7 linked regions of the Sus scrofa genome follow. The protein of the gene in region 5 purifies or fractionates together with the protein of the main gene of each other region. This does not show direct contact. Links are inferred from orthologs where the notes say so. Each region holds a gene or a part of one and is shown on either strand. Other genes may lie near its edges. The genes, in order: PPP2CA, PPP2CB, ECSIT, SERTAD4, PPP2R2B, MYO9A and CDCA4.

The links.
Region 1: the proteins of PPP2R2B (region 5) and PPP2CA purify together in Homo sapiens (affinity purification with mass spectrometry; 4 studies listed by BioGRID and IntAct, with this or other methods). This does not show direct contact. The link is inferred for Sus scrofa from reciprocal best matches to the Homo sapiens genes PPP2R2B and PPP2CA.
Region 2: the proteins of PPP2R2B (region 5) and PPP2CB purify together in Homo sapiens (affinity purification with mass spectrometry; 5 studies listed by BioGRID and IntAct, with this or other methods). This does not show direct contact. The link is inferred for Sus scrofa from reciprocal best matches to the Homo sapiens genes PPP2R2B and PPP2CB.
Region 3: the proteins of PPP2R2B (region 5) and ECSIT purify together in Homo sapiens (affinity purification with mass spectrometry; 3 studies listed by BioGRID and IntAct, with this or other methods). This does not show direct contact. The link is inferred for Sus scrofa from reciprocal best matches to the Homo sapiens genes PPP2R2B and ECSIT.
Region 4: the proteins of PPP2R2B (region 5) and SERTAD4 purify together in Homo sapiens (co-immunoprecipitation; 3 studies listed by BioGRID and IntAct, with this or other methods). This does not show direct contact. The link is inferred for Sus scrofa from reciprocal best matches to the Homo sapiens genes PPP2R2B and SERTAD4.
Region 6: the proteins of PPP2R2B (region 5) and MYO9A purify together in Homo sapiens (affinity purification with mass spectrometry; 4 studies listed by BioGRID and IntAct, with this or other methods). This does not show direct contact. The link is inferred for Sus scrofa from reciprocal best matches to the Homo sapiens genes PPP2R2B and MYO9A.
Region 7: the proteins of PPP2R2B (region 5) and CDCA4 purify together in Homo sapiens (affinity purification with mass spectrometry; 4 studies listed by BioGRID and IntAct, with this or other methods). This does not show direct contact. The link is inferred for Sus scrofa from reciprocal best matches to the Homo sapiens genes PPP2R2B and CDCA4.

What each region holds. Positions count from the first base shown.
Region 1 is NC_010444.4:136,519,831-136,524,117, reverse strand, and holds the start of PPP2CA (serine/threonine-protein phosphatase 2A catalytic subunit alpha isoform), read left to right. Parts: upstream 1-1,487; 5' UTR 1,488-1,665; coding exon 1,666-1,767; intron 1,768-4,287. UniProt on the Homo sapiens protein: Catalytic subunit of protein phosphatase 2A (PP2A), a serine/threonine phosphatase involved in the regulation of a wide variety of enzymes, signal transduction pathways, and cellular events.
Region 2 is NC_010457.5:54,294,356-54,298,585, reverse strand, and holds the start of PPP2CB (serine/threonine-protein phosphatase 2A catalytic subunit beta isoform), read right to left. Parts: upstream 2,801-4,230; 5' UTR 2,428-2,800; coding exon 2,326-2,427; intron 1-2,325.
Region 3 is NC_010444.4:70,167,963-70,172,145, reverse strand, and holds the start of ECSIT (evolutionarily conserved signaling intermediate in Toll pathway, mitochondrial), read left to right. Parts: upstream 1-1,383; 5' UTR 1,384-1,533; intron 1,534-4,183.
Region 4 is NC_010451.4:132,738,444-132,741,943, forward strand, and holds part of SERTAD4 (SERTA domain-containing protein 4), read right to left. Parts: intron 3,324-3,500; coding exon 3,208-3,323; intron 1,376-3,207; coding exon 617-1,375; 3' UTR 1-616.
Region 5 is NC_010444.4:147,937,574-147,940,699, reverse strand, and holds the end of PPP2R2B (serine/threonine-protein phosphatase 2A 55 kDa regulatory subunit B beta isoform), read left to right. Parts: intron 1-1,893; coding exon 1,894-2,173; 3' UTR 2,174-2,626; downstream 2,627-3,126. UniProt on the Homo sapiens protein: The B regulatory subunit might modulate substrate selectivity and catalytic activity, and might also direct the localization of the catalytic enzyme to a particular subcellular compartment.
Region 6 is NC_010443.5:169,593,972-169,597,913, forward strand, and holds the start of MYO9A (unconventional myosin-IXa), read right to left. Parts: upstream 2,801-3,942; 5' UTR 2,735-2,800; exon of another isoform or gene 2,270-2,734; intron 1-2,269. UniProt on the Homo sapiens protein: Myosins are actin-based motor molecules with ATPase activity. Unconventional myosins serve in intracellular movements. Regulates Rho by stimulating it's GTPase activity in neurons.
Region 7 is NW_018084979.1:3,193,364-3,197,407, forward strand, and holds the start of CDCA4 (cell division cycle-associated protein 4), read right to left. Parts: upstream 2,801-4,044; 5' UTR 2,720-2,800; intron 2,718-2,719; exon of another isoform or gene 2,640-2,717; intron 2,529-2,639; exon of another isoform or gene 897-2,528; intron 1-896. UniProt on the Homo sapiens protein: May participate in the regulation of cell proliferation through the E2F/RB pathway. May be involved in molecular regulation of hematopoietic stem cells and progenitor cell lineage commitment and differentiation.

The sequences.
Region 1 (4,287 bases), about 11 Mb from region 5:
CTCCTGAAGTCCATGTGCAAAACTTTCTCTAGGGAAAACAACAAGGAGAAGAAGAGCTGGGCATGGGTTGTGCCCATCTACACCTTAACTAGATAATGCCAGATTTTCCAAAGTGGTTGTCCCAAAGTACAGCAGTGTATAAGAGACCCCATTGCTCCACATCCTCACCAACATTGGATGTTGACAGTTTTTGCCAAATGGGTGAGAGTCAAACCTGGAATCTGTGGTTTTCATTTCCCTGCTTACTACCCTTGTGTTACTGGCCATTCATCTTCCTGCTTTTGTGAAGGGCTCTTCTGCCTGTCTATCCCCAGATCATCCCAGGAAGTACACAAGCTCCGTCAGGGTAGGGTACCTCTGTTTGTATGACCCTTCTGTCCTTCGGGCATGAATCTTGAACATAACTGGCGGTGTACGGAGCCAAATATTTCTGCGAATGCAAGGACAACGGAATGCGGATACATTTCACGAATCTCGAAGAGATTTATAGCCAGAGGTCCGATCCTAGGGTATCTGAGCTTTCTTTAAAGCGCACATCACAGCCGCTTCTAACACTACCGGGTCTCAATCAGGACCGGTGCGTCCATCTCCTTGCGGTCTTCCCTCTAGAAAGAAGGCCTGAGTGGGCAGACGGTTGGTGGGGGTGGGGTCGGGGGCGTTTTCTTCTTCCCTTGGAGGCTCGGAGTCGGAGGAAAGCGCCCACCTAGGGGGGAAGGCCACAATGGCAAGACTGCAGCGGCGCCTGTGGAAGCCAGGAGCGCTAGGAGGCCCCAGCCATGGCGCTAGAAGAGACATCGAGGCCCGGGGACAGGTGTGTTGGGGAGTCAGGTGCACTGCGCAGTACTGCAGGTACACCCTCTTCCGCCTACGACTGACCTAATTACAAGGTGCTGGCCGCACCCGGAGGCAGGGGTGGCTACTCCAACCTGGCTACCACTCGGCGCCTGTTCCTGCTCCCAAGATGCAGCAATTCCAGTGCTGTTGTAGAATGGAGGAGCCACGGGGCCCAATTCTCGTTTCCGTGCTTTGGCAGTCGCCAGGTGAGGAGCCGAGGCGTATCACCTCAGGGAAAAAGTCTCCGGCAACAAGGAGCCACCCTCGCACCCCGGCTGCGCCTGCGCCTGGTCCGCAACTACACCCTGCAGGATTTAGTGCTCTAAGATTAGCCCACTTCCCAGCTATAAGCAAGGCCCCTGCTTGGACTCGGTCTTCCCTTCCCCCTCGGCCCCTCCCTTCTACAGGACCGCGCCCTAAAAGCGAAGGTGCCTGTTTCCAGCCGGCTACTTTACGCGCCTGCGCCCTGGCCCCTAGTTCCCGCCCCCGCTCGGGTCTGGCCGCAGATGAGAGCCGGCCCGGCAGTTGCGCAGCTCGTATCCCGGCGCTTCTACCCCTCCTCACCCCGCCACCTCCTGACGCCGGGCGTGACGTCACCACGCCGGCGGCCGCCATTACAGAGCCGAGCTCCAAGGCTAGAGCGAGCGGAGGAGGTCAGTGGCCGGTAGCCGAACACCGAGGGGCGAGTCAACCGGGCAGCGCTACTGCCGAGCAGCCTTCAGCAGCCACACAAGTACCCCGGGGGCCGACGGCAGCGTGTGCGTGTGGCCCGTGTGCGGGCGGCGGCGCGGGAGTAGCGCGGAGCGGCAGCCGGTTCGGGCGGGTGGCATCATGGACGAGAAGGTGTTCACTAAGGAGCTGGACCAGTGGATCGAGCAGCTGAATGAGTGCAAGCAGCTGTCCGAGTCCCAGGTCAAGAGCCTCTGCGAGAAGGTGAGCTGCACTCCGGCTTCGGGAGCCGGGGCGGGCCGAGCCCGCCGAGAAGGAAGCGGCCGCGGGGAGGGTGCAACATGGCGGAGGCCAGCGGCCCCGGCCCCCGAGCCTCCCAGACCGGCCCCCGGCGCGGCCCGGCGGCGGCTCCCGGACGACCCGGCGCCCCCTGCCTCCCGCGCAGGGATTGGTTGTCGCTGCCACCGCCGCCTAAAATGGCGCCGTTCACCCGACTCCGGGGCTTCAGAGCTTCCCGGCCTTGGCTGGAAGCGAAGTGGCTGGGGGAGGGTGCGGGGGAGCGGAGACCCTGCGAGTAAGGGTCAGGGACGGTTTTGATATCTGGGCACGAGGTCTTAGGTTCTACGGCCTGGGAATGGGGCCTGGGACTCTTCTGTGAGTTTGGTGGGAGGTTTCTTACTTGTACTCAGGCCGAATGCTTAGGTCCAGAGCTGTCCAGAGGGTCCCCCAGAGGCAAGCTTGTAGGCCGGATCCCGGGACCTATCTAATAAAGGTCACGCAGATTTAGCATCGTCTTGAGTGGTTTATGGTAAACCTCTCGAGCTGTGTTTTCCAGAGACTTATTAGTACATTTTTTCGAGAATTTTTAAATGAGCTTTTAATCTAAGTTTCAATGAAGGTCATGGTGGTAGTTATAGGGAGGAGTATAACTTATTTTTCATAGTTGGAAGAATTAGACATTTTGGTGAGTCATTCTACATAGGAGCTTTGGGATTGGAAATCAAGTGTCAGTTTAATCTCTGATTTATATGCTGACTCAAATTGGATAGTATGAAACCCTTCTTTAAGCTTAAGGTTCTTGGCATTTTGCCATTTGTTTTTTAAATGAGCAGCATAAACTGTTAAGACCAGCAGATTTTGTATCCTTGCTCTCTGCTGGAAAAGTTGTTAGTATATTTGTGACTTTAAGTAGTAAGTATGATATTAACAGCTGTTGATCGAGCTTTTGCTGTATTCCAGTCATTGTGTTTAGTGTTTAAATCCCACAAACGTTTAAAATGGAATGTTGTAGTCTGTTTTAGAAGTCCATTTTAAATGACCTAATTCTGATTTGTTTTTCCCAAGGAGTTGGGGAAACAGGTAGCCTGTTTAAGTCTTATAATTCAGTTTTCTAAAGTAGAGAAAATGCTGATCTCCACCATGAATGTTTCAACTTCTCTTTTTAAAAATAACTCTGCAGCATCTTTAGTTCCACAGAATGGTGGAGTATCATCAACATTTTGTATTAGTGAAGAGAGTTATTAGAAAGCAATTACGCTGACTCGTTTGTGGTTTGATGTGAAAATTAGATTCGTAAATTTGACATATACGCTCCTAAAACAGGCTTTTTCAGAAACTCTTCTGTGAATTACTGCAATTTAAGTAAGTCTAATTCAGATTTGTTTATCCCAAGCCTCAACAAAACTTCTAGTTGATGAGGTGGCACATCATCTCTTGGAGCTGAATTTTAATACTGGCAATGTAGAGCCTTTTGTTGCTTCTTGATCCTTAATTCTTTTACATCAGATGAAAATGACATTTGTTTAAAGTTTTGGAAGTGGGCTTTTAAAAATTGTTTAATGTATAGTGTTAGGTCTTAGTTTTTGGATACTGTAAGTGATGATTTTAAAGATTTTTAGAGTTGAGTACTTAACTCTATATAAAGACTTTGAGTCAGCAGTTGGCTAGATGACTAGTTATTTGTGTAGCAAACATTGCAACAGAGTAATGATGTGGTTGGAAGACCACTGGACTGTGAGTTAGACCTGGACACTGGTCCTTTTTCTGCCACCAAGTAATTGTGACCTTGAGGCAATCACTTCACTTGGTCCACATTTTCTTGTCTATAGAGTTAAAACATGTTCCAGGGTTCCTTCTAATCATTTGAGATTATACAATTGCATTTTAAAATAGTACTCTGTATTTAAATATTGAACACTTATTGGATATCCAAGATTGCTTACTTTTATGAGAGGAGTGAAAAGCAATGAAAAATAATCATGCTTATTTTTAAGGATCTTGAATCTGGTTGGAAGTCTGTAGTAGATAGACCACAGAAGTAAAGGGTCTGTGTTGGAGACAGCAGAAGATATTGGAATTATGGTGGGGGGACTGAAGCTTGATCCCCTTGGTAAATATTGTTTGCTATGTCTCTGTAATATCAAGATGGAGTGAGATTAATCAGTTTATGTTTAAATCCCCATTGCTCATCCACTGTATAAAGATTTTAATTCTTGGAGCATATATATATATATATATATATCTTTGATGCTAGATTTTCAAGACATGGGTCCTTTTGGAGGTTGTCACATAGCCTTCATACTGTTTTTAATTTGTAAGTATTCCGTCTTTGGGAACTGTATTAACCTTCCAAAATAAATTAACTTGAAGGCAGTTTTTTAGGTATAGTAAGTCTTTCTAGTGAAACAAAAGTTCTCTTTTCACTATTAATATTTGTGTGGCCAATAGCACAACTGGCAAAACCTGTATATTTTGAAAATCTTGAGTGGAAAACCTTTTTTCATT
Region 2 (4,230 bases), on a different chromosome or scaffold from region 5:
AATTTTCACTTAAAAATTCATGCTTAGTGGGCAAGTACAAATATTCAAAGAAAAAAAGTAAGACATAAGGTTAGATATATCTCAAAGGTCCTAGGGATTGGTAGTTCAATTCAGGAGCTAAAGTTAAAATAATCTCTCTGGACAAACACAGAAAGCTTCCTCAAGTGATTAGGATTCAAGTGTGGTTGAGGGGTAGAATATTCTTCTCCAGAAGACATCTTAAATTTATTAGAGAATTAAAGGGAAAAACTGATTCAACTGCCAACTTTGTCCATAACTTCAAGTCTTTATCTACTGTTCACAGTGAGGTGAACTGACTCAGCTAATTTCAGAACTGAATGTTTCACCTGACACTGGAGCCTAAGAGAGCGTGAATTAAAATGTAAATTCTAAGACATGAAATTACAGGTTATCACACAAGAAAACTGAATGTGGAACTTGAAGTGGTAAGTAAACAGCCTGTTTCAGGGAAACAAAAATACCATTTGCTTGGCAGTTCTATTTACAGAAATACACTCCTGTGTTAACAAATAGTTATTTAACAGACTCACAGATACAGAAAACAAACTTATAGTTACTAAAGAGGATAGCGGGGGAAGGGGGTGAAGAGGTAAGTTAGGAGTTTGGGATGAGCACACAAACACACGACTATATATAAAACAGGTAAAAACAAAAATGTGCTGTACAGCTCAGGGAACTTTATTCAATATTTTTGTAATAGCCTATAATGGAAAAAAAATCTGAAAAAGAATACACATATATGTGTGTAACTGAGTGACTGCTGTATACCTGAAACTAACACAACATTGTAAATTAACTATACCTCAATTCTAAAAAGTTACATATGTATGTAGACCCTAAGCAACAATACATGTAACTAAAAACACTATTCTTGGGAGTTCCCACAATGGTGCAGTGGGTTAAGAATCTGACAGCAGCAGCTCAGGTCTTTGCAGAGGTCCAGGTTTGATCTCTGGCCCACTCAATGTGTTAAAGGATTTAACTCCACAGCTACAGTTTAGATTTAACCCCTGGCCCAGGGAACTTCTATATGCTTGGATGCGGCCATAAAAAGGAAAACAACAACAACAAAACAGCTATTACTCCTCCATTCCTAAGATGCTTAATTTTAAGGGTGTGCTATAAACAACATTGACAAAATCTTTCCTTCTTCAATGCTTTTCGGAGGCATCCCGGCTTACAAACACAATGATCAAGAAAGTCTTATGGGTCATGGCTTAAAAATACAAACCAATCAAAAGCATTAAAGAATAAATAACTTTGTTACTCCTTCATATGAACCTTTTTACATAAAAATGTATTAATATTATTTAGGCCAAAAAAAAGGTGGAATGAGAAAAATAAACTGTAAAATCTGAAATAATTCGAGGTTAAGAAAACAACGAATATAGGACTCAGAAAGTGGCCTAAAATCACACAATCAACAGCGACTGTAAACAGTTAATTGCCTGCATATTTTACTACTTTTTGGAAAAAAACAACTTAAATATGTAATAGAAATAACTTTCTGAAAAGTGTTACCCTGCACGTAAAACACGTACCCATTGATCATTTCATGCAAGCAGTGTTGCCAAACTTAAGACTAGCCGTCCTGTTTCTGAAAATCAACATTTTTGCTTCCAGAGAGCTTCTCAATTGAAGAAGACCAGTCACCATCTGTCTCAACCAAAGTCAACTTCTATTTTAAAAATCACAGTCCGCCATCACACCCACCTCTCTATAAACAAATGCTTGATACATTTCAACTCGATGATTTCTGAAGGACCGAGTCACCTGAGAAAACGGCTACGTTTATTATATCAAGGGCCTTGAGATTCACAACGTCCAGGTTCATTTTCAACTACGAGATTGCCTAGATTACCCTGCCAGCCAGCTAAAGCGCGGATTGCTAGTCCGCACGGAAATACTGGAGTGTCAGCAAAACCCAGAAAACAGTCGGCGCCCCAATCACTCCAGGAGTGGATTCCGGGTGCCACGTTGCCCCCGCCCACCTACCCCGGACCCCTTAGGCCAGGACTGGGAGCTTCCAACCCCAGCCGGGTGCTGGGTCTCCAGGGGGTCCAGGAACAGCCCGGCTCCTCCCGGGGGAGGCTGCCCGAGTGGGAGACGCAGCCCCGCAGGTCCCAGACGGACGCGCCGGACAAGGGACAAGCAGGCCAGGAGAAGAGGTGGGGGGGAGGGGGGGAGGAGAAAGGGGGAGGGGAAGGAGGGGGGAGGGGAGAGGAGGGAGAGGGGAGAGGATAGGTCCCAGCCCCCACCCAGCCTGTCGCACGCCGGCCGCATCTCGCCAATTTTCTCTCTTACCTTTTCGCATAGGGTCCGCACTTGGTTCTCATTAAGCTGTTTACACTCGTTCAGCTGCTCGACCCACTGGTCCAGCTCCTTGGTGAACGCCTTGTCGTCCATGGCGACCCGAGCCCCTCCCCCGCCGTCTCCCGCCCCCCTCCCCGCCCGCCCTCGCCCCTCGCGCCGCTCCCCTCGCCCGCCGCCGCCAGCTCCCAGTGGGAGAGGAAGGAGTGGGGGAGCGCGGCCCCGGACCCCGCGCCCCGCCCGAGCCCCGCGGGCGGCTCCTGGCGCGCGGCCTTCGGGAGACCCCCGCCCGCCCTGGCCCGCCGGGCCGCGCGCCCTGGGCGTCACTGGAGGGCGCGGGGAGGTGCGGGACTTCCGCGCAGCTCCCGCCGGATTATGGCCACTTGCCGCCGCCGCCGCCTCCCGCCCGCCCGCTGCTCTGGATTCCCTTGCCCCTTCTCTCTCGCTCTTTCTTTCCCCTCCCTCTGGGTTTCCGTCATCGCCCGGGCATTTCCGCCGGGAAAAGGTTAGCAGGCGGTGCCGCCGGAGCCCGGGACTCGAGGAGGGGTACAGCGCCCCCGTGTGGCTCGGCGGAGAAACGGTCCCTTTCCCTTCCATCTTGCACTTTATCGACCAAGCTCTCCCAGTTCTTTCTTTACATAATTTTACGCAAGTCTGTACCCACTATAGTTTCCTGCAGTGCTTTTTTCCCCCTTTTTTTCTTCTTTTTATTTTAGCGTTCTGTAGAGGGGATTGGAAAGCTTGTCCCCCTCCTTGACAACATTGTCTCCTCAGAATCTATCACTCTCCCATAGCAGGTGGTCAACATTTGTTGAGAAAAAAAATAAATTCTTTCTAGTCTTACCTCTGTTATGAACTAGCTGTGAGGCACTGACATCTCGAATCCCCCCTTTCAGCATCAGAAAGATGAGATGACAGCTCTGTGTTTTACCAATCAGTGTCCCAGCTCCCTCATCCTCCACGGAGTTGACTGCAGTGTTTACTGAATTCTCATGATTTGTTCATGCAACAGATACTTAATGAGCAACTGCTAACTGCCAGATCTCTTGAACAGCTAATGCTTACCAAGTTGACTTCCTATATTATAGTTGCAGATTATTGCCACTGAACCCAAATGGGAGGCAGCCTCTTGTATCTGAAGGCAAGAACTCCCTCCAGCTCCCTCTTGGCATTGCTAGCCTCCCAGCCAGGTCCTTGGACAATCACCAAAGCTCCCCCAGCCTCAAGTTCATCATCTGTTAAAAGGGGGCAATAAGCCCTTTTCAGGTTATCATGATTAAATTCTACAAGTGCTTATCCAACAGTAGAGTTTGGGAGCCATGTTCCTCTGTTTCTTGCCTTATCCCTCCTAGGCAATAGCTACAGAAAACTTTAGAAGGGTGGCATTTTTTTTCTTTTCCTTTTGCAGTGGTTTGCTGCGGGGTCTCAGTTCTCAGACCAGAGACTAAACCCCAGCAGCATCAGCGAAAGGGCCGAGTCTTAACCACTGGACCACTAGGGAAACCCTGAGAGAGGTGGCATTTCAACTGAATTTTGAACCTTCTCCCTAAGCAACACTTTGGAGTTCCCTGGAAAAGAGGAAAGGAGTTCTCAGGATTTTGGGTTTTTTTTTTGGAAAGTGGCGGAGAACAAATGTGTGCAAGACCATGGTCTCTTTGGAAAGCTACAAATACTCCTAATAACCGAAATAGGTCCTATGGTGGAAAATAAGGCTGGAAGAGCTCCTGTTCTCAAGTGTCTTGTAAACAGCAGCAAACCAACTGCAAGACAGAACATGAAAAGGTGGTAAAACAATACGTACAGAATAGGAGGGGTATCTGTAAGATTGCAATAGATTTGCAGTCTCTGAGGAGGCTAGTCTACAAAGGTTGAAAGGAGGCTGTTTCAGCTACACCTGGT
Region 3 (4,183 bases), about 78 Mb from region 5:
TGTTGAGGCACAGTCATAAACACACATTGTCATATACTGTCACTGACATACCGATGGTGGAGGGGCACCCATACGAGTCACACCCATACAAGTCAGGGACACACAGTGTTACAAACACATACCAACAGCTGGACACAACTACATAATGGAATCCCACATCAGAGACCACCCCAGATTGGCATTGTCAGTCAGACCTTTATACCACCGCTGAGACACAGAGTTTCACACACACACACACACACACACACACACACACACACACACACGAAGTCAGAGATTCATATAGGTACAGGCACACACTGGTAGACACAATCACACACAGATATGTAAAGGGCTATAACAGTCACATGTGTCTTGATGGTGGGACAATCATTTATCCACAAGTTGGGGACACATGGGGTGTCATAAACACAGTCATCTACCCACTAGTGTTCAGACATGCAATCACACACACATTATTGCATGGACCATCAAAGAAATGTTGACACACCTAATCCCAGCCCCTCAGAATTCTGGGACAAATTCCACATCCTTCCACACACACAGAATGACAGACACCCAGAAGCTGATACAATCACAAGTGCACATGCAGCTACTGACACGTGGACACACAAAGTCCCACATGTACCAATGTCCACACTGACACACGTGGGGACTATCCCTGACCTACCCTCATACAGCCACACACAAACGTACACACCTTTGTTTGAGTTCTGAGAAACTACGAAAACCCATGAAAACATCCACACTCTATCGCAATCTCACACACACATACGCACACACACACAATTGTGAACATGCACACTACCCTACAGGATCCTCAACCGTCCAAGCGAGGGAGGTGGAATAAGGTATTAGTGTGAATCCCCCATAATAACAGTAGCAAACGCTTACATGGCTGTTCTGCATAGATTAACTCCATTATTCCATAAAACAAAGCCCAAAAAACAAACAAAACAAAAAACAAAAAACCTCTACGAGGTTATTATAATTGGCCATTTCAGAGGTGAGACTATTGAGGCACAGACAGGTTAAGCACTAGTCCAGACTCCAGGAGCTAGATTAGCAGTCCTTCTTCTTCCCTAACGTCAGCGCCGAATCAGCGCCTGGCACACAGTAAGCCTTCAAATGTTCGTTGAAAAAATGAGGGAATCCACATTACTTAGACCTTTAATATTTCATTCCCGTATTTCAGGTGGGCACTAGGACTGTCAGTTGAGTTCACCCGCTGCCTGAGTCCAATGTCCCAGCTCCGAAACCGCACAGTCTCTCCTTCCCGAACCAAGCTCGCTCATTCGTGGGGAGTCCAGCTTGCCTCGTTAGGGGAGGGGCCTGACTCACCACGAGGCGGGGCCAAGGTCGCTGCGCCTTTTTATTGGTGCTCCTTTCTTCGAGGCGGGACCTCTCTTAAACTGGCGCTGTTGATTTGCCGGCTCCCTGGTGGCCCGTGACCCAGAAGATCTTCGTGCAACATGGCGGCGCCCAGGGGCAAGACATAACCGGCCCGGATTCCGCGGCCGTCCGCGTGAATAGGTAGGTCCCACGCGGGGAGGCAAGCGTGAATTTATGAGCCCTGGGGCAGCCCCTTTGGGGCCAGCAGCGCGGAAGGGCGGCCCCAGGAGGATCCCGGCTGCCGGGGCCAGGGCACCGTGACCTTTTCGGGTACACGGCGGGACGTTCCGAGGAGAGCTGCCTTCTGTGTACCCGCCTCCCCACATCCCTAATCTCTAATCTTGGAGATGAGACAGCTGAGGCTCAGAAAAGTTAAAGCCGTCTCCCAAGGTCACGCCACAGGTTGGCAGCTAGGCTAAAGTTCGCTTCTTTCTCCCAAGGGCGTCAAAATCCTAGCAGCCAGCCTCAGAGCTGCTGTAGGTACACCCTGCCTAGGGGTTCAGATTTATAGAAGCTTTGTAGAAATTTAGCTCTTCTTATTCATTTGATATTTGTTGGGTACCTACTATATAGCAGGCACTATCCCAGGTGCAAAAGAGACAGCAAAAAGGAAGACAGACAAAAATCTCTGGTCTCAGGAGAGCTAGACGTTGAACAAATCAGAAGTAAATGAAACGTGACTTCAGATGCTAATTGCTAAAAATTCATTCATCAGGATGATGGGGCTTTAGATTGGGAATGGGGCAGTAGTCAGGGAAGGCGTCTCATTTGAATATAGACCTGAATAACCAGGCACAGCAATGAACTGACCTGGGGAAGGAATTTCCAAACAGGGAAAAGCAACCTCAGAGGCTCTGAGACTAGATAAAGTCAGCTTGTTTAAGAAACAGCGTAATGGGAGAGTTCCCTGTTGGTCTAGTGGTTAGGATTCAGAGCTTTCACCTCTGCAGCCTGAGTTCAACCCCTGATCTGGGAACTGAGATCCCACAACAAGCTGCTGCACACTGCAGCCAAAAATAAATAAAAATTAAATAAAATTTAAAAGAGAAATAAATGGTGTAGCTGGAGCTTCCAGTAATAACAGTTGAGTTTGGAGGGATGGAGCCTGTCTGATTTTTATCTCATGTGATGTGCAATTAGTGACTTTAGCCGGAGAACACTTTAGTTTACATTTTAAAAAAGCTCCCTATGACCACTTTAGGGAGAACTGGCTGGAGGCAGGTAAGGAAAGGAGTGTGGGTAGATGAAGAGAGGTCATGGACTGGAGTTGTGGCTTGCAGATGGAGAGAAATGGGATTGTTTGAGGTGGATCTGGATGTAGCAACATGAGCAGCTGATGAATTGGTTGGGGAAGTGAGGAACACAGTGGACTCAGAACCAGGTTTGTGGTTGATTGACTAGGAATGATGGTGTAATGACATCAGGCAAGGATGAGATGGAACAAGTTTAAGCAGGGGCATAAGTTAGGCGCAAAATAAGTTTGAGATGGCTAGGTATACACCAAAGTGGCAGTTAGGTATGGAAGCTGGAGCTCAGGGATGGTGATAACCATTGGGAACTATCAGCACATAGATCTTCATTTCTCAGACTTTAACACACATAAGAGAAATGTGGACTTTTGTTTAAATGCAGATTCTGCTTCAATAGGTCAGGGTTAGGGCTGAGATTCTGCATCCAAATAATGATGCCAATACAGCTGCTCCCTGAATAGCAAAGGTTTAGATTAAGGTCTAATCTCAGCTGGATGTTAGAGTCATTGGAGTGCTTTAAATGCTGATGCCTGGGCCCTACCTCTAGATATTCTGATACAATATATCTGGGGTATGGCCTGGGCATGTGATTCTTTAAAGCTTCCTAGATAATGCTGAAATGAACAAGGTTTGAGAACTATGAGAGCTGCCTACAGAAATACAGAGAGAACACCTCTCTTGGAAGCTGAATGATACCTTACGGTAGCAGACAGACAAGTTCAAAGTGTAGGACTCTTTGCAGCATTATTACTCAAAAGACAGCATTAAGCATCACATAGAAGTTTGTTAGATTAAAAAAGTCTTTGGCTCCACCCTAAACATTCTGAATCAGAACCTGCATTTTAACAATATTCTCAGCAATTCATCTGCACATTCAAGTCTGCAAGCACTGCACACTTTAGAGAAGGAAGCCAGTCTTTCTGATTGGCTGAGAAACAGGCCTGGGGGCTAGGAAGAAAATCAAGAGTGCCAAGGTGGGAGGAGGGCATCACCCATTCCAGATACTTCTGAGAAACTGAGCAAAATGAGGCCAGAGAAATAACCACTGGCTTTGTTAAATGTAGAACGTGCAAGGGGTCTTTACAGGAGTGGTGTCAGTGGAGTGGCTGGGACAAGAGCCAAACTGGAGACAGTGAAGAAGTAACATGTAGACCCCTCTTGGGAAAAGCTGTACTATAAATAGAGCAGAGATGTGGAACAGAGGTGGAAGGAGATGCTAGAGAAAGTTTAAAGGGTGATATGAGTGATCCAAGTATGTACCAACTTATTTTATGAGGCCAGCATTACCCTGATACCAAACCAAACAGACACAATAAGAAACAAAAACTACATCCCAATATCCCTTACCAATATGGTTGCAAAAATCCTCAACAGAATACCAGCAAACCAATTTTGGCAACATAAAAAAAGATTATATACATCATGACCAAATGGAATTTATCCCAGAAATGCAATATTGGTTTAATATTTGAAAACCAATTAATGTAATGTACTTTTCTTTTTTGGTCTCTTTGGTCTTTTTAGGGCCACACCCGCAGCAT
Region 4 (3,500 bases), on a different chromosome or scaffold from region 5:
ACCACTCTCTACTCATATTGTTGACTGCTGCCCTAGACAGGTATGTTTCATTACGTTCTATCCTAATTTCATCTGTCACATAAGACTGTTAAATCCACACACTTAACAGTACCATGAAGCCATTTCATCTAGCTCCCTGTCTTCAGTCTTTTTTTTAGAAAAAAAAAAAAAAATACTGTATCATGTAGAAGAAGCAGACATCCTTTGCTGGTTATATCAATTTGCTTACCAAAGAACTACCTAATTAATTGGCAAAGATGTGGGGGGGTTCTTCGCCAGTGACAGGCTCCTTGGGGGTCGGGGGTAGTAGAAATATCACAAGGGCCACATTGTTCCCCCATCTAATCTACTAATCTTTTCTGTAAGAAAACTAAGATATACTTTTAAGCGTTAAGTCAACTGTTTTCTTGGTACTGTCACCACATTTATAAGTAGCGCGCTGATGCCTACGATACAGATGTTTCAGGCAATCTGCTCTCCAGGCATTAAAACGACACGGCATGTTCGTGGCATAATTTTATCAGTTGTACAAAACTATAAAATCCATTCAAAATAAAATTTCTGGGCGCTAATTGATCATGCTGCGCATGCGTCGGGATTGCGGTGAGAAGATGGCTCAAATTTTACTTCCTTTGCTGCAACACAGTTTGTTGCTCGGTGAAGGCTCCTTCTTCCTTATGGACTTTTTCCAAGACTCACTTACATTGTTTTTTTCATTATATCCAGTCTCAAAATAATCATAAAATTGGCCTTTGCACTCAAAAGCAAGGTCATGTCCCACGGGTTCATGGTTTAGGGGGCCGCCATCCCTGCTGGTGTCATCGTCTGCTTTCTCATCATTTAATTTGGCCTTTTCCTGAACACCAAGCGACCTGGCATTCGTAACAAAGATTTCATTGGCAGGTATCTGGCCATCGCCCTTGTAGAGAGGTGTGCTGCCTACATCAAAATCCACCTGGTGGGAGCAACTCGGTAAAGGCGGAGGGGGAGAGGGAGAGGAAGAGGAGGAAGAGGAGGAGGAGGAGGAGGCACTTCCGACGTTAGCATTGACAGACAGGGGTAAATTTAGGTAGTGACCACCACATTCTTGGTAAAAGCAGCAGGCATGAAACTTTTCACACTCCTCTTTGGCCATCCGAGGTCGTTTTCGGTAAGGACAGTCTTGAGCCATAAACCACTCCTGGGCGGAGGCGCCATTGAAAGAGCAGGCGGGAAAGCACCAGTTATTCTGCATGATAATCTCCCCATGGATTCTTTTCATCAAGTTGTTGATCAGGACCGATCGTCGGAGGTACACCTCAGGGTCATCGATAAACTTTAGCTTTTCTAAGGACATATAAAGGATGTGCGCGCGCTCCTCAAAGATCGAGATGGTCTACAAACCAAAACAGGAAGAGACAGCTTAGGAAACGGTCTATGTTCAAGTGGCATGGGGCCCATTTCCCTCCTGGCAGGTTCGGGGTCTGGGAAGGTTGTGGTTCCCCCCCAAGTTCGTTTAGAGATGCTATACCCCTTGTGTGGCTAATGAACACTCGTCCCAGGAGACTCGCTGGTGAGGTGAAGCCCTGGGGAATCCAGCCCCAGGGCAGACCTCAGCAGGGACCGGTCAGGATGCCTGGGCAGTGAGGGGGATGGCACCCAACTCATCTATGCTCTTAGAAGTCAGGAGGGTGGGTTCTTCGGTGGGCAGAGTGACCAGAAAGGGACATAAGGAGAGGTTATGAGTTGCTGGGTATGTCGCTTCTTTATCTGGATGCTAGTTACATGGCTTTTTCCCACTTGGTAAACGTATTAAGCTGGACTCCTTTGATACTCGTGCCTTGATGTGTGTGTATACAAATCACACCCACCCACACCTAGACGCATATGTTACATGTCGGTATTGTATATTGTATGTCTTTTTTTACAAGATGCCAAGATGTGGGTCATCACAAGTATACTTCAAACCCTGGCCATCAAGGACCGTGACATCTGGCTTTCAGCACTGTCCGTCTGTGTTTCACTCTTGCAATTACCTTTGCTTGACAGAGGGACAAAGATAACTAACGAGGCTCAAACCCTAAAAGGACCTGTCGGTTGAAGGGCAAAGGAGGCTCTTTCTGGAGTTGGGCAGAAGCGCTGCAGAGAAGGAATCAGAGGACTCACTCCTGAGCTGTGTGAATTCCATCACTGTGTGATGGTTCGTTCAAATCCAGCAGCAATTTGGAAGACTGTTCTGGCCACAACACAGAAACTAAAAAGGAAACAAACCGCTTGTGTCCTGGGGGCCAGCTCTTCCAGGTCATAAAAAAAGCCAACCCGAGGATCTGTGATTTAAACCAAAGGCAGGAACCACACATGCAGGGAAAAGCCCAGCACCTGCCAATGCATGCTGGTGTCTTTTGATGAGCAGAGTCAAACGCAGTATTTAAAAGGTGGGGGTGGGGAGAGGGAGTAAGAGGTGAGAGAGAGGAAGAAGAGTTAAAACCTTAAAAATCCTCTCTGCTTCTCAAACAACTACGGTCTGGCTTATCCTCTCCTCGATTAAATCAGCAGATAAGTTTTTGAAGAAAGATAACCACGAGGAAAAGGAACTGGTATTTCAAAAGCTCAGCTGGCCGGTTTCATACTTCTCTGCACTTTTCCAATCCTGTTGTTTGCTTCCTACAGATGCAAAAGAGTTGGCTTTGGTCTTTTCTGGGGATGAATGACACGTTTGAACACACTCAACACCAGTGATGAACGCACCCTGAAGAACAGGTTTCTACTTTCGTGCACACACTTCCCAGGGATGGTGAGGGCGACCTCGAGAGGTCAGGAGAAGCCCTGGACCCCCATGCGGGCACACACATGTGGCAACAGGCCTTGGAACTAGAGGTCAGAGAGGGAGAGCAGGCCAGGAGGGAACAAGTGCACTTCTGCACATGTAAAAGCACCAATCACCTTGACCCTTAAGGTAACCTGAGACAAATGCAATCACTTAGTGAAAAAGACGGTCCTTGGACTATGCAATTTTGTTATTTCTGGGTAGAGGCGCTCTCGCTGGCTCCTTCAAATACTTGTGCAAAATAACACCAGGCCCCAAAAAGTGACAACGAGATTAACGTGGCTCCGCGAGCAGGGGCTCATTTTCGTTGCTTGGGTGGGACAATTTAATTTCTGGAAATGGATCAATCGACTAAGTATCTTAAACTCTTAATAAAAGTAACGACTATTAAAAAAACATACTTTATGGCTACAGCTGCTGAGTGGTGGGTGAAAATCCTCTTCTTCCACATACTTCCTCTTAAAGTATGTGATCTTGGATGTTGTTATAGGATTTGAAATTCCCCTGTAATGGGATCCTGTGGTAATAAATCAGATATGACAAATGACATGTGGTTTGCCAGAGGTTCTCCAAACAAAATACGTTCCTTTCCTTTCCTTCTAGAAGATAACGTGGCCACGTATTTGTCTGTACATGTGGCGATTAAAAATAAACATTTGTCTTAATAGTTGCTATCATACGGAATCCTGTGACC
Region 5 (3,126 bases):
ATTCACGGGTTACTGTTAATAGATTTTTTCTTAAGCAGTTGTTATTGTTCCAGTTTCCCTTCCATCTTAACCGAGATTCCAAAACTATACTTAGTAGGCACCTTCACACATGTGGTGTTTTTTGGGAACCTCCATATGCCACAGGTACGGCCCTAAAAAACAAAAAAGCAAAACAAAAACCTAAAAAGCAACATTCTTTCCATAACATTACAGTGTCTTTCCGTAACTCAGAAAATATTACTTGCACTGTAGTTGTGGTTGAGATTTTTTTCCCAAAAGAGTCTTTCTCTTGCTGTTTAAAAACTAATTGGGGAGCTCCCATTGTGGCGCAGCAGCAACAAATCTGACTAGTATCCGTGAGGATGCGGGTTCAATCCCTGGCCTCGCTCAGTGAGTTGGGGATCCAGCGTTGCTTTGAGCTATGGTGTGGGTTGCAGACACGGCTCAGATCCCGAGTTGTGTGGCTGTGGTGCAGGCCGGCAGCTGTAGCTCTGATTGGGTCCCTAGCCTGGGAACTTCCATATGCCATGGGTGTGTCCCTAAAAAGGAAAAAAACCCATGGGAGTTGTGGTGTGGGATGCACCGTTCCGCTTGTGGGTAGCAGTGAGGCCAAGTGGCTGAATGCTTGTGCCCTGGAGTCCAGCAGGTGTGAGCTGGAAGCCCGACGTGGGCATTGCTAAGCTGTATGACACTGCACGAGTGTCGGCTCTTCCTCCTGTGTAAACCCCTTTGATGGGTGATGGAAGAGGAAACGAGACTGGCAGGAAAGCAGTCAGCACCCTGCCTGATGAGGCCACAACAGCTTGCTCTATGACAGAGACACACGGTATCACAGCACAGGTTTCCTGCGCCAGGGGAACAAAACCTAATTCTGAGTTAATTCACCTGCACAGCCAACCAAGTGCCCACAAGCTTAGCCCCCTGGCTGGAGCCCAGTCCTGTCGGTTTCCCTGCATCTTCATCCAGCCCAGGGTGAGGTGCTCGGCGCTCCCGTCCTCATCCGCCACTCAGAGCCCCACCCACAAATGAGGCCGAGCCAGCCTCTCTGGGAGGTGCCGCCTCGGGATGCTGCTTGAGGGGCCTTATCTTTCCCTCAGCCTGTCACCTTGTCCACACCGGCACCGTTAAAGTGTCAGCTGGTGGCTTCTGGAAGGCTTTTGGCATTCACTGCTCTCTTAACCGGTTAGAGATACGCCTAAGTACGGATAACTCGTATAGAAATGCAGAAATCATCTGTCAATGCACCCCGATCCTATGTCCTCATCTTTCAGCCTTTCAAAATGTGACTTTCTGTTTGCTCCCTTCCCAAGGGAGACCACGACAGCATCCACTTCTTAGGTAAGTGTTCGGGAGAGGCTGAATTTGGAGCTCGCTCCTGGCAGGGGGAGAACACACGCGGGTGCACTGCTGCACTGTCGGCATCTCTCCCTCAGTGCTGATGCAAGAAAGCCTTAGCAGTCAGGCAGCACAGAATCCCACTCCCTCCCCACATCCAGCCTTTAAATATGCACAATATGATGGCTGTATACTGCTGCATCCCTATGCCCACAACTTCACTCCAGCCTCAGAATCCTGACGTGAGGGAGGGGGCCTGGGATCATTAAGTCCACAGGACTCATTGATGGAGCCCAAGAGCCAAAAGGCATCCATCGATCAGCAGCAAGGAGGGGTATCACAATCCTTTGTTTGCAAACCTCGCCGAAGAGCTCGTTGCTCTTAGCGGTCCCCAAGAAGCTCAGCAGTCACACTGCAGAGCCTGTGGAGGTCTGGGGTTTCGGGTCTGTCTTTAGGAGAAGGTCCGGTTGCCAAAAGCTGGCCTCCGCAGGCTGTCGTTTGTCCCTGAAAGGCTTTGTCTGTGGCACTCAGGTCCCCTTTTCCCTCTCTGCCTTGCAGTGTCATCATGACGGGCTCCTACAACAACTTCTTCAGGATGTTTGACCGAAACACCAAGCGTGATGTCACCCTTGAGGCCTCAAGGGAAAACAGTAAACCCCGGGCGATCCTAAAGCCACGCAAGGTGTGCGTGGGGGGCAAGCGGAGGAAGGACGAGATCAGTGTCGACAGCCTGGACTTTAGCAAAAAGATCTTGCATACAGCTTGGCACCCCTCAGAAAATATCATAGCAGTGGCGGCTACAAACAACCTCTATATATTCCAGGACAAGGTCAACTAGAAGGACGCGTTAGTACTTAATAATCTCACACACTGAATACTAGTCAAAACACTTTTTAAATGTTTCTTTGGGTGTTCGTTTGATGCAGCGACATTCATTTCCCTACACAGGAAACAACTGGAATAGAACTCATTGGATTCCGACTTTCCCAAATCCTCAGTTCTAAGAAACTTTTTGTCAAACCCAGTAGGTTCTGGGACACTCCTTCCTGTTTAGAATTGAGAGCTGCCAGCTAACCGTAATTCTTCCATAGTTGACTTGAATTTCTGATGCTTTTATTGCCCCGTTTTTCTCTGGTGGGTCCCGTGTTTTGTTTATAGGTGTCTGCTGAGATAAAAAATGAGGTTGTCTGTAGTATTTAAAGAGAAAAGAGATAAGTTTTTTTTTTAATTAAGCAATTCCACTTGATTGAAAAAAATTCAACGAAAAAATAAAACACCGTTTACTCTAAGAGAAATTCTCCTCTTTTTGTGAAAAGTCAGCACCAGTCAGCATCTTCTGCCCCTAAAGCCCTTTTATTTCCCCCCCCCCATTTTCTTCTTAACAGTTTCCTGTGAGCCAGGGACTTCTTTCACGAGGCTTCGAAGGGGACACAGAATGCGAAGGGAAGGGCCACATGGATGCCACTCTACCCTTTTTTGTAAGCGCCATAGAAACAGGCTGAGAATTTGGCTGGGCAACACCGTGATGCTTCAGGGGACTTAAAGAGAATGCTTTCTACCCAGAGCGTCTCAGACTTAGCTTGGCGAGGCCACGGCGGGGCGGGGGCAGAGTCCATCTGCAGCTTTGTTACTCTTGCTTTTTTGTCATTTTCAATGGCTCCATAGAATCCTCTACTGACATGTGCCTTGGCCTTTTCCCGTCAACCTTTTCCAGACTATTTATTCCATTGACGCTTGAAGGCCGCGTCCCGGTTGTTTATACTCCGGCCTCCTAAATGTAGTAGTGGCACC
Region 6 (3,942 bases), on a different chromosome or scaffold from region 5:
CTAATCACTCCATGGAAGCTCAAAGGTTCAATGAGAAATTCAGTTTATCCTTTTTTGCAGGTTCACAAAAGAACCATCAGGAAATTTTTTTAAATCCTGAAAATTACTTAAAACTTATATATATATATATATATATATATATAAGTTTCCCTGGTAGATCAGCGGGTTAATGATCCAGCATTGTCACTGCTGTGGCTCGGGTCACTGCTGTGGCATGGGTTCAATCTCTGGCCGGGGAACTTCCGCCTGCCATGAGCATGCCAAATAAAATAATAAATAAATAATAAAAAAACACACACATAGCAGCTGATACATTTAAGAGAAAAGCATGCAGCAATGTTAATAAAACCAAAGACTGAAAATAACCTCAAGACTACCAAAATGATATACTATCCAGCCAGTAAATGAGGCACTTCCAAATGTACAACCGTTGAGTGATCTCTAGGATCTATTATTAAATGGGGGTGGGGGGAGAAGGGTAGGGGGAAGCTATATACATTCCATCTAGTACACAAGCATTTGTGGTGTTTTAAGAACATAAATACACGAGTTCCCTCGTGACCTAAGTAGGTTAAGGATCCAGCGTTGTCACTGCTACGGTACAGGTCACTGCTGTGGCACAGATTCAATCCCTGGCCCAGGAACTTTTGCCTGCTGCAGGTACAGCCAAAAAAATATATATATTTTTACACACACACACATAAGTGTGTAGACCTGTATGCTAGAAATATCGCAAGAACAACACACACAAAGATGGAAATAGTGGTTGTTTCTAAGGAGGGAAAATGGATGGTTGGAAGATACAGGGAAAAGAGAAACTTTTTACTACATACTCTTTTGAACCTTTTGATTTTTATACTATGTCTAATTATGACCTATAATTTTAATATGATTTTCTCCTTCCTCGGTTCCACATACAAAAAATAAAAAATTTTAAAGTACTGACTACAAAAACCTCTCTATACTTCATCCCTATACCAACGTTAAAATTATGCAGTGATCATCTGGTGTAAAATTACATTTCCTTCTTGACAGCTCAGGAGTTCAACAAACTATGTTTTACTGTTTAACTACTGCTAATAAGGCTGTTGATAATGACATTGGTGAACACTGCAATGATAACTGTACCTGCCTCTTGAAAAAGCAAGTCAGCAGCACCAGGTAGCAGAATTTTATTATTAAACTGACATCAAAATCTTCAGAAATTAAGGAAAACTACAAATCTTACTTTCCCAGCAAATTCTAAAACAGCAAATTCAAAAAAAAAAAAAAAGTATCTTGCTATCCTTCAAAAGCAGTGCAAAAGAGCTGTAAAAATCTACAAGAAGGTGAAACAAATGATACCACATGGAGACATTCATTACTGTTGTGTTAATTAACCCTTCCAGAAGTCCCTAAAATGTCAGATCTGTACTACCCCACACATTCTACAGAAGATGAGAAGCAGGCTGTGTGACCTTACAATAGCACACACCGCCTGCCCTGGGCTTCCATGATCTTCCATCTCCCTCTTTCTAAAGCCCGGAGACTAAACCTCCAAACATGAGTGTCAATTGGTCCCCTTAGCCCCGCTGGGGGGAAAACACTAGGCTAAGCAAAATGCCTTCAGGATTTCACGGCAAAGCCCTTTCAACCAAAGAAAGGATCACGACCTCGGAGAAAGATATTAAGGTCTGCCTAAGGAAAGGAGGTCTAGAAGAAGAGGCCGCTGCTGGTGTCTAAAGAGGAGCTGACACCAGATTTCTTGGGAAGTAAGAGCATCATGAAATAGACTATCTGAAAGACGAGTTGAGTAAGGGAAGAGCTTCAGCTAGGCGGTGAGCAGGTCCGCTAGGAAGAGGAGTGGGCAGCGATGGATCTGCCTTGGAGCTGGGGGTCGCAATGGGTTTAGAGGGCAAGCGTAAACGGATCTGAGGAACTGTGATTGGGTCAGCTCACAGGAGGATGCAACAGTCTCGAGGCCCCATTTAAGAGTACTACGAGAGTCCGAAGAGGGTTCTAGTGGGGTGTGATGGGGTGAGAGGCCCGAGACTAACACCAGGAGAGGTTGGAGCGCCGGAATGGTGCCTGGCCAAAGGAATACACGATGGGTGGGGTCCACTGGGTACCCGGGGCAGCGATCGGGTGTCAGGGAGGCTCCAGCGCAGACTAGCTCGCGGGGCGTCTCCGCTGGGGCGGGGCGGGGCGGCCCCGCAGGAGCCAAAGAGAGAGACCGAGACGTGGGCCGGGCTGGGCGGCAGGGCCGCTGGGCGGCTTGGGCGGGTCTTACCTCGGGCTCCGCCGCGGTGGCCACCGCAGCCCCCTCCTCTTCGGCGGAAGCCGCCTCCCAAACTCGGCCCCAGGGTCAGGCCGGAGGAGACAGCAGAGGCCAAGATCACCAAGGGTCGGACGGCTCCGGGAGGGTGGGCCCAGCTGCCTTAGGGTCCGGGCGAGCGGCCGCCGCGCATCCCCCGCCCTGTCAGAGAGACTCCGCCCGGCCTGGGCAGGCACATCCCCGGCCGCACCCGCCCTGAGACCACGCGTTCAGTCGCCGCCTCAACCGCTACTGCCGCCTCTGCGGGTGTCGCGGGTGCCTCCACCGCCGCCTCTCACCACCCTTGCTGTTCACTCAGCAGCCACAGTCAACCGCCACCACGTACCAGTCCGCTCGGGCCCGCGCGCCCCCGACCCCGCGCACGCGGCCCCGCCCCGCACGACTCCTCAGCTGCAGAAGAGCAAGCGCGCGCGCACTTACCTCCCACGCCCCCTACCGCCCTCGGGAGCCAGCCTGCTCGCCCGACTCCGCCCCCGCACGTGATGCCGCCAGCAAGTACAGCATGCGCTTGCGTGGACACGCCCCATTTCGTCCGCTTCAGGCGGCCCCGCCCAAACTTTTCTTCCTCACCTTACGGCAGAGTTGGGAACTCTGCCTTAGGTTTTATCTCTTCTAGAGAGGGATGTCGCAATGTTGGGCTAGAAAACTCTGGGTTTACGACTGCAGCTCTCGCTTTCCGGCCAATACCGAGGTGCCTGAAGGCTGGCTGGGGAGGTGAGGCCCGAGGCAGGTAAGAAGCCTCCTCCCCACTTCGGTTTGTCGGTCGGTGTGTCTGGGCAGGAGATCGTTTTGCCGCCCACGCAGTTCTAGCGTCTCCACACCCACTCCCCAATTCTGGCTCAAAATTCTTAGCGCCGCCTCCTTAGCGCCCCCCCCTCCCGCCCCCGTTTCCACACACACACGCCCTTTCCCCAGCATTTCCCCGCCCCGGACCTCCGTTTCCTAGTACTTCTTTCTTTTCATCCCTCAGACTTTTTACTGAGCACTTTCCGTGCATTAGACTCCAGAAAGTCAGAAGCAAATGAAATAGTCTCAAGTGTTTCGAAGTATGTTGGAGACGATGAGAGAATCCTCCGTGATAGTAAAGTAAAATTATAATAGAAAAAAAAAAAAAAGCACAAGGTATTCTTTGAGCGTAGAAGAGGGACCACCTGATTGTGTATGACTTGAGGAAACCCTCTGGGTCACTCTTAATTTGTGTTAGAAAGCTAATGAGCAGTAGCTGGTTAAAGCGGTATAAGAGATAGAAGCAGAGGGAATGATGGGTACAAAAATATTTTTGACAGTACTGGCGCTGAAATAAAAAGAGGAATAGAATACAGTTAGCGAAAACCACGTGGCGTAAGTTACTCACTCTTTGAGTAATAAAGAGTTATAAAGTAATGAGGTGAGGGACAAGCGTGTGGGCCAGAACAGTGTTTTCTTTTAAGGTGGTTATGAAGTGTACCATAACCAAGATGTGGACAGTTTATGAGTGAGAGTGGGTAATTTACAGAACCAGGAGCGGTAGTGGAATTAAATCTTGTATGCACATTAGAGTCACCTGGGATTCTTTTAAAAAGTAAAACCAGGCGTTCCCATTGTGGCTCAGCAGTAATAAACCCTACTGCCCTCCATGAGGATGCAGT
Region 7 (4,044 bases), on a different chromosome or scaffold from region 5:
CTGTTCCTGTGCCACACTGCGGACTGGTTCCTGAGGAAGGGTGCAGCCCACGGGCAGTGCTCACCCCAGAGCGGACCCCCAGGGGCTATGCTGGGGGGACTGGAGGAGGCTGAGCCCAGGAGGTGGCCTATGAGGATCCCCCCCGCAGACATCTGTACGTGGGACCAAGAACACGGCATGGTCGAAAGAGCCCCTGAGAGATGTTTTGGGGCAGACATGGGGACACAGAGCCCTTAGGCTGGGCTGTCCCAGCTCCCTGCCCAGCCTGGGACTGTGGCCTGAAGGCACCGAACCCTCCTAACACCCAGTGACAGACCCCAGACCCCGCTCCCCGCAGGCTGTCCTGACAGCAGTGCCTCACTGGCGGTCAAGTTCTGAACAAACAAAACAACAGGCCGCATCACCCGCCTGGCACCTCCGCGTCCGTCACAAGGTCTCACCTCGTGTCTGCTCCATGCCCCAGTCCCACTGAGCCTTCAGCGTGGGCCACTCGAAACCCTCCAATGTCAATGGACAGCTGGCCTGCAGGGTCTGCCCTGGGTGATGGCACAGCCCTGCCCCTCGCCTCCTCCAGAGCAAGCGCCGAGCGCACCGAGGGAAATGAAGGGGGGTGGCTGCACACTGCGGCGAGGGTCACAGGAGCAGCTCGGACCCCGTGTGGTTGCGGCCGGGCAGCCGCAGCTCTGATTTGGCCCCTAATCTGGGAAGCGGCCTATGCTGCAGCCCGAGGGCAGCCCGCCCAGAGCACCCCCGGCAAAGGGGACCCCAGTCACGCCCAGGCTGCTTATCCTGCAGCAGCTCCCACACCGTGTGGCCAGCCATCCCGAGAGCTGGTGGAAGATGCAGACTCCCAGGTCCAGAGCAGCAGGCTGGGAGGGCCAAGGCCAAACTCTCACCATGACCTTCAGCCACTGCCAAGCACTCTCCTGAGCTTCAGGTTAAGGCACATCAGCAAGAACATTCTCCGTTTCCGTCTCACGATCAGATCTGCTTTGAAATACTAGAGAAAAATGGGAGAAGATGGAGCAGGCGAGTCACTGCCTCCAAGTGGGCGCGGGGGTCACCCCTCCACTGTCCGTCTCGGTTCTTCTCATAAGCCAGCGCTAATCTTGACGTCCGGGACTTCTGGTGCTTGGGGTAAAATACAGACCTGGGAATGCGCTTAATAGCAAGTTGACGGAAACTCGAAGCCCTCTTTCCAAGATAAAACGTGCCACCGTTTGTAAAAACGCAAAAGGTCGTGACTGACTGCTTAGTCTGAAACTGCAATTATAAGACACAGCGTAACTTGAAAATAAAGAGCTACTGCACGTAGGGAGGTCACACAATAGGAAACGCAACCTTGTCACGGAGAGTACCTCTTCTGGCTGGTTTAACAGAACAGCTAACTCAGTCCTGCTGGCCCTGTGCACAGGCCCCGCGGGCCCCAGAAAAGGAAACAGCAAACTTCTCAGGAAGGGGAACCCTCTATTTGCCGGGACCACAGGTTCTCCAGGCAAACAGCTAGCTGGCAGACGCTTTTCCTGGTAATCCTGCTTTGGGGGCAATAAGCTTGCTGTGGCAGCGCGTGTCTGGTACTTTTCCTAGTTATCCGACCGAGGCCGGACCGGGCAGGCACAAGGAGCCCAGCGAAGAAGTTCCCTTAGCAGCGGGGTCCGGGGATCCGTCTCCTCCCACATCCTACGGCCCTCCCTGCTTCCTCTAGACGGCAGGGAACACACGCAGAGCGCCAGCTTCAGGCCACCCAAGGCTGGCATCATTTGCTCCCAGATACTCCCTGACCCGCTTAAAGAGGGGTACCGGGAGGAGGGAAACTATTGCGAAATATCCTTAGCAATCCTTTTCGAAGCAGCTGAAACCAAGACATAAGGAAAAGAACCTACACTCAACACGCACGGGCACGCAGCCAGCCACAGGGAGGCAGCCCTGCCCTCGGGCTTCCAGAGAAAGAGGCAACGGCCTGGAGGGCAACACAGTCCCAGCAAACCTCAGCTCTGCCAGAAGGACCCAATGGAAATCCCAGCCCTCCCTTGCTGATACCCCCCACCCACTCCTCATTCTGCAAGGAATGCACATTAGGAGGGAAACAGAAAACGGCGGATGGACGGGTGGGTGGGAGGAAAGAAGGGTGGACGGATGGAAGGAAGGAAGGAGGCCGGGAGGATGGATGGGGGTGACAGAGAGCGGCAGTCGGGGGCGCTCCGCTCAGGGCTTGTAACTCCAAGTCGGCCGGACAAGGAGCCAGGGTCCCTACAGGTCGTCTTGGTGGGGGCCGGGGCAGCCGCCGCTAAAGAAGCAGGAGGGCCTGCTCGGACTCCTTCCAAGTCAAAGGCAGGACGACGGCGCGGGGTGCCGCGCAGAGGCAGCCCGCAGACCCTTCTTAAGGGTCCCTCCTCCTCCTGAAAAAGCTCCAGTTTGGTTAAAGCCAAGGCGATACGACTTCTGAGACGCTGCGAGACGGCCCAAGTGGAGGCTGCGGCAGCAGCACAGGGAGTTCCAGGTGGCGGCTCGCGCGTCGGGCGGGCGGGCGGGCGGGCGGGGGGAGAGGTCGCGGCGGCCCTCCTCCCCCGGCCCTCCGGGTCCCACGCCTCGGGCCTTCCCCCAAGCACCCCCCAGGCGCCCCGGGCCGCTGCCCGTACCCTCCCCGAAGCCCCGAGACGGAGAAGCCGGGCCGTCCCGCCGGCGCACAAAGGCCCGCGGCCCCAGCGAAGACGCTCACCTGGCCGCACACCGTCCGCGCCGCCCGCGCCGCCGCGGAGGGAGGGGCCGCCGGGAGGGGCGGGGCCGCCGGAGGAGGAGCCGCCGGGGCGGGGCCGCGCAGCTTTGCCCACAAAGAGCCGCCGAGCAGGCCGCCCCGCCCGCTGATTGGCCGAGAGCCGGGGCGGGGCCTCCGGTTCAAACCGCGGGCGGGGCCTGGCGCGCGAGTTCCCGCGCGGCCGCGTTGGCCGTTGGGCCCGCGCCCTCGGCCGCCCCGCCCACCGGCTCCCAGGTCTCCTCGCGCGGCCCTAGTGCGCCTGCGCCGGGCACCCGGGGGCGGGGCGGGGAAGGCGGAAGAGGACGGATAGAGGCGGGGAAGAGGGCGAGGCGGGGGCGGGGGCGAAAGGGGAGAGGCAGCTGCGTGGCAGCCGCAGCTCCTTTGATAGTCCCTTAAATCGTAAAAGTCGAAAGCGGGGGAGGTTTCTTTGAAAAATAACTTCTTAGTGGACAGGTCTTAAATAGGATACAGAATCCCGACTCCGTCAATTCTGGCAGCTTTCTTGATTGCAGGCTGCAGTGATAACCCGTGCAGAGCCGGCGTTCTGCGGTGTCCCGTGATGCGGTGCTGTCAGGAAAGCACGGGGAGGTGGGGACCCCGCTCGCACAAGCCTCTAGGACAAGGGGCGTCTGAGGAACACCTCGAGGAGGCAGGGAAGCCTGGGGGCGGGGGCGGGGGGTCTGCGGGCGGGGAGCAGGCTGGGGGTGGGGGGCGGGAGGAGGCGGGGCGTGGGAACAGACTAGGTGGAAGCGGAAAGTCCAATTGGGTCACTGCAGGGCTGGGGCCGGAGACAGGGACCGTGATAGGCGACTTCCCCGCAAACAAGGTGGACGCCCAAAGGAAACTGGCTCCTCGCCACAGGCTGAACGCAAGGTTAAGTTCCTTCCTACACAGATAACCCGCCAGAGAGACAAGATCTACAAACCAGTGGAAAGTGGGAAGAGATGTTAACACAGAGCGAAGGAAATAAGATACTCTCAACTTGATCAAATTGCGAGTGGGAACGCAAACTAGAGCCAGCGCTAGCTTGATGTGGTTTTACGCTGTCGGACTGACCACGGTCCAGGATGCTCTGGAGCAAGATAATGTCTTCCAGAGCCTTCACTCTTATTTGCCCAAAATGTCCGGCATAAAATTAAAAAGTAACGGTCATCCCGGGACACAAGACCAAAAAGATGGTAGAAAAACATGGGGAAAAAACCAGAAAACAGAGATTGACTCATGGGTGAACACAGATGTTGGTGTTAGCAGGTTTTTAAAACAGCAGTTGTATTCCAGAAAATTAATGA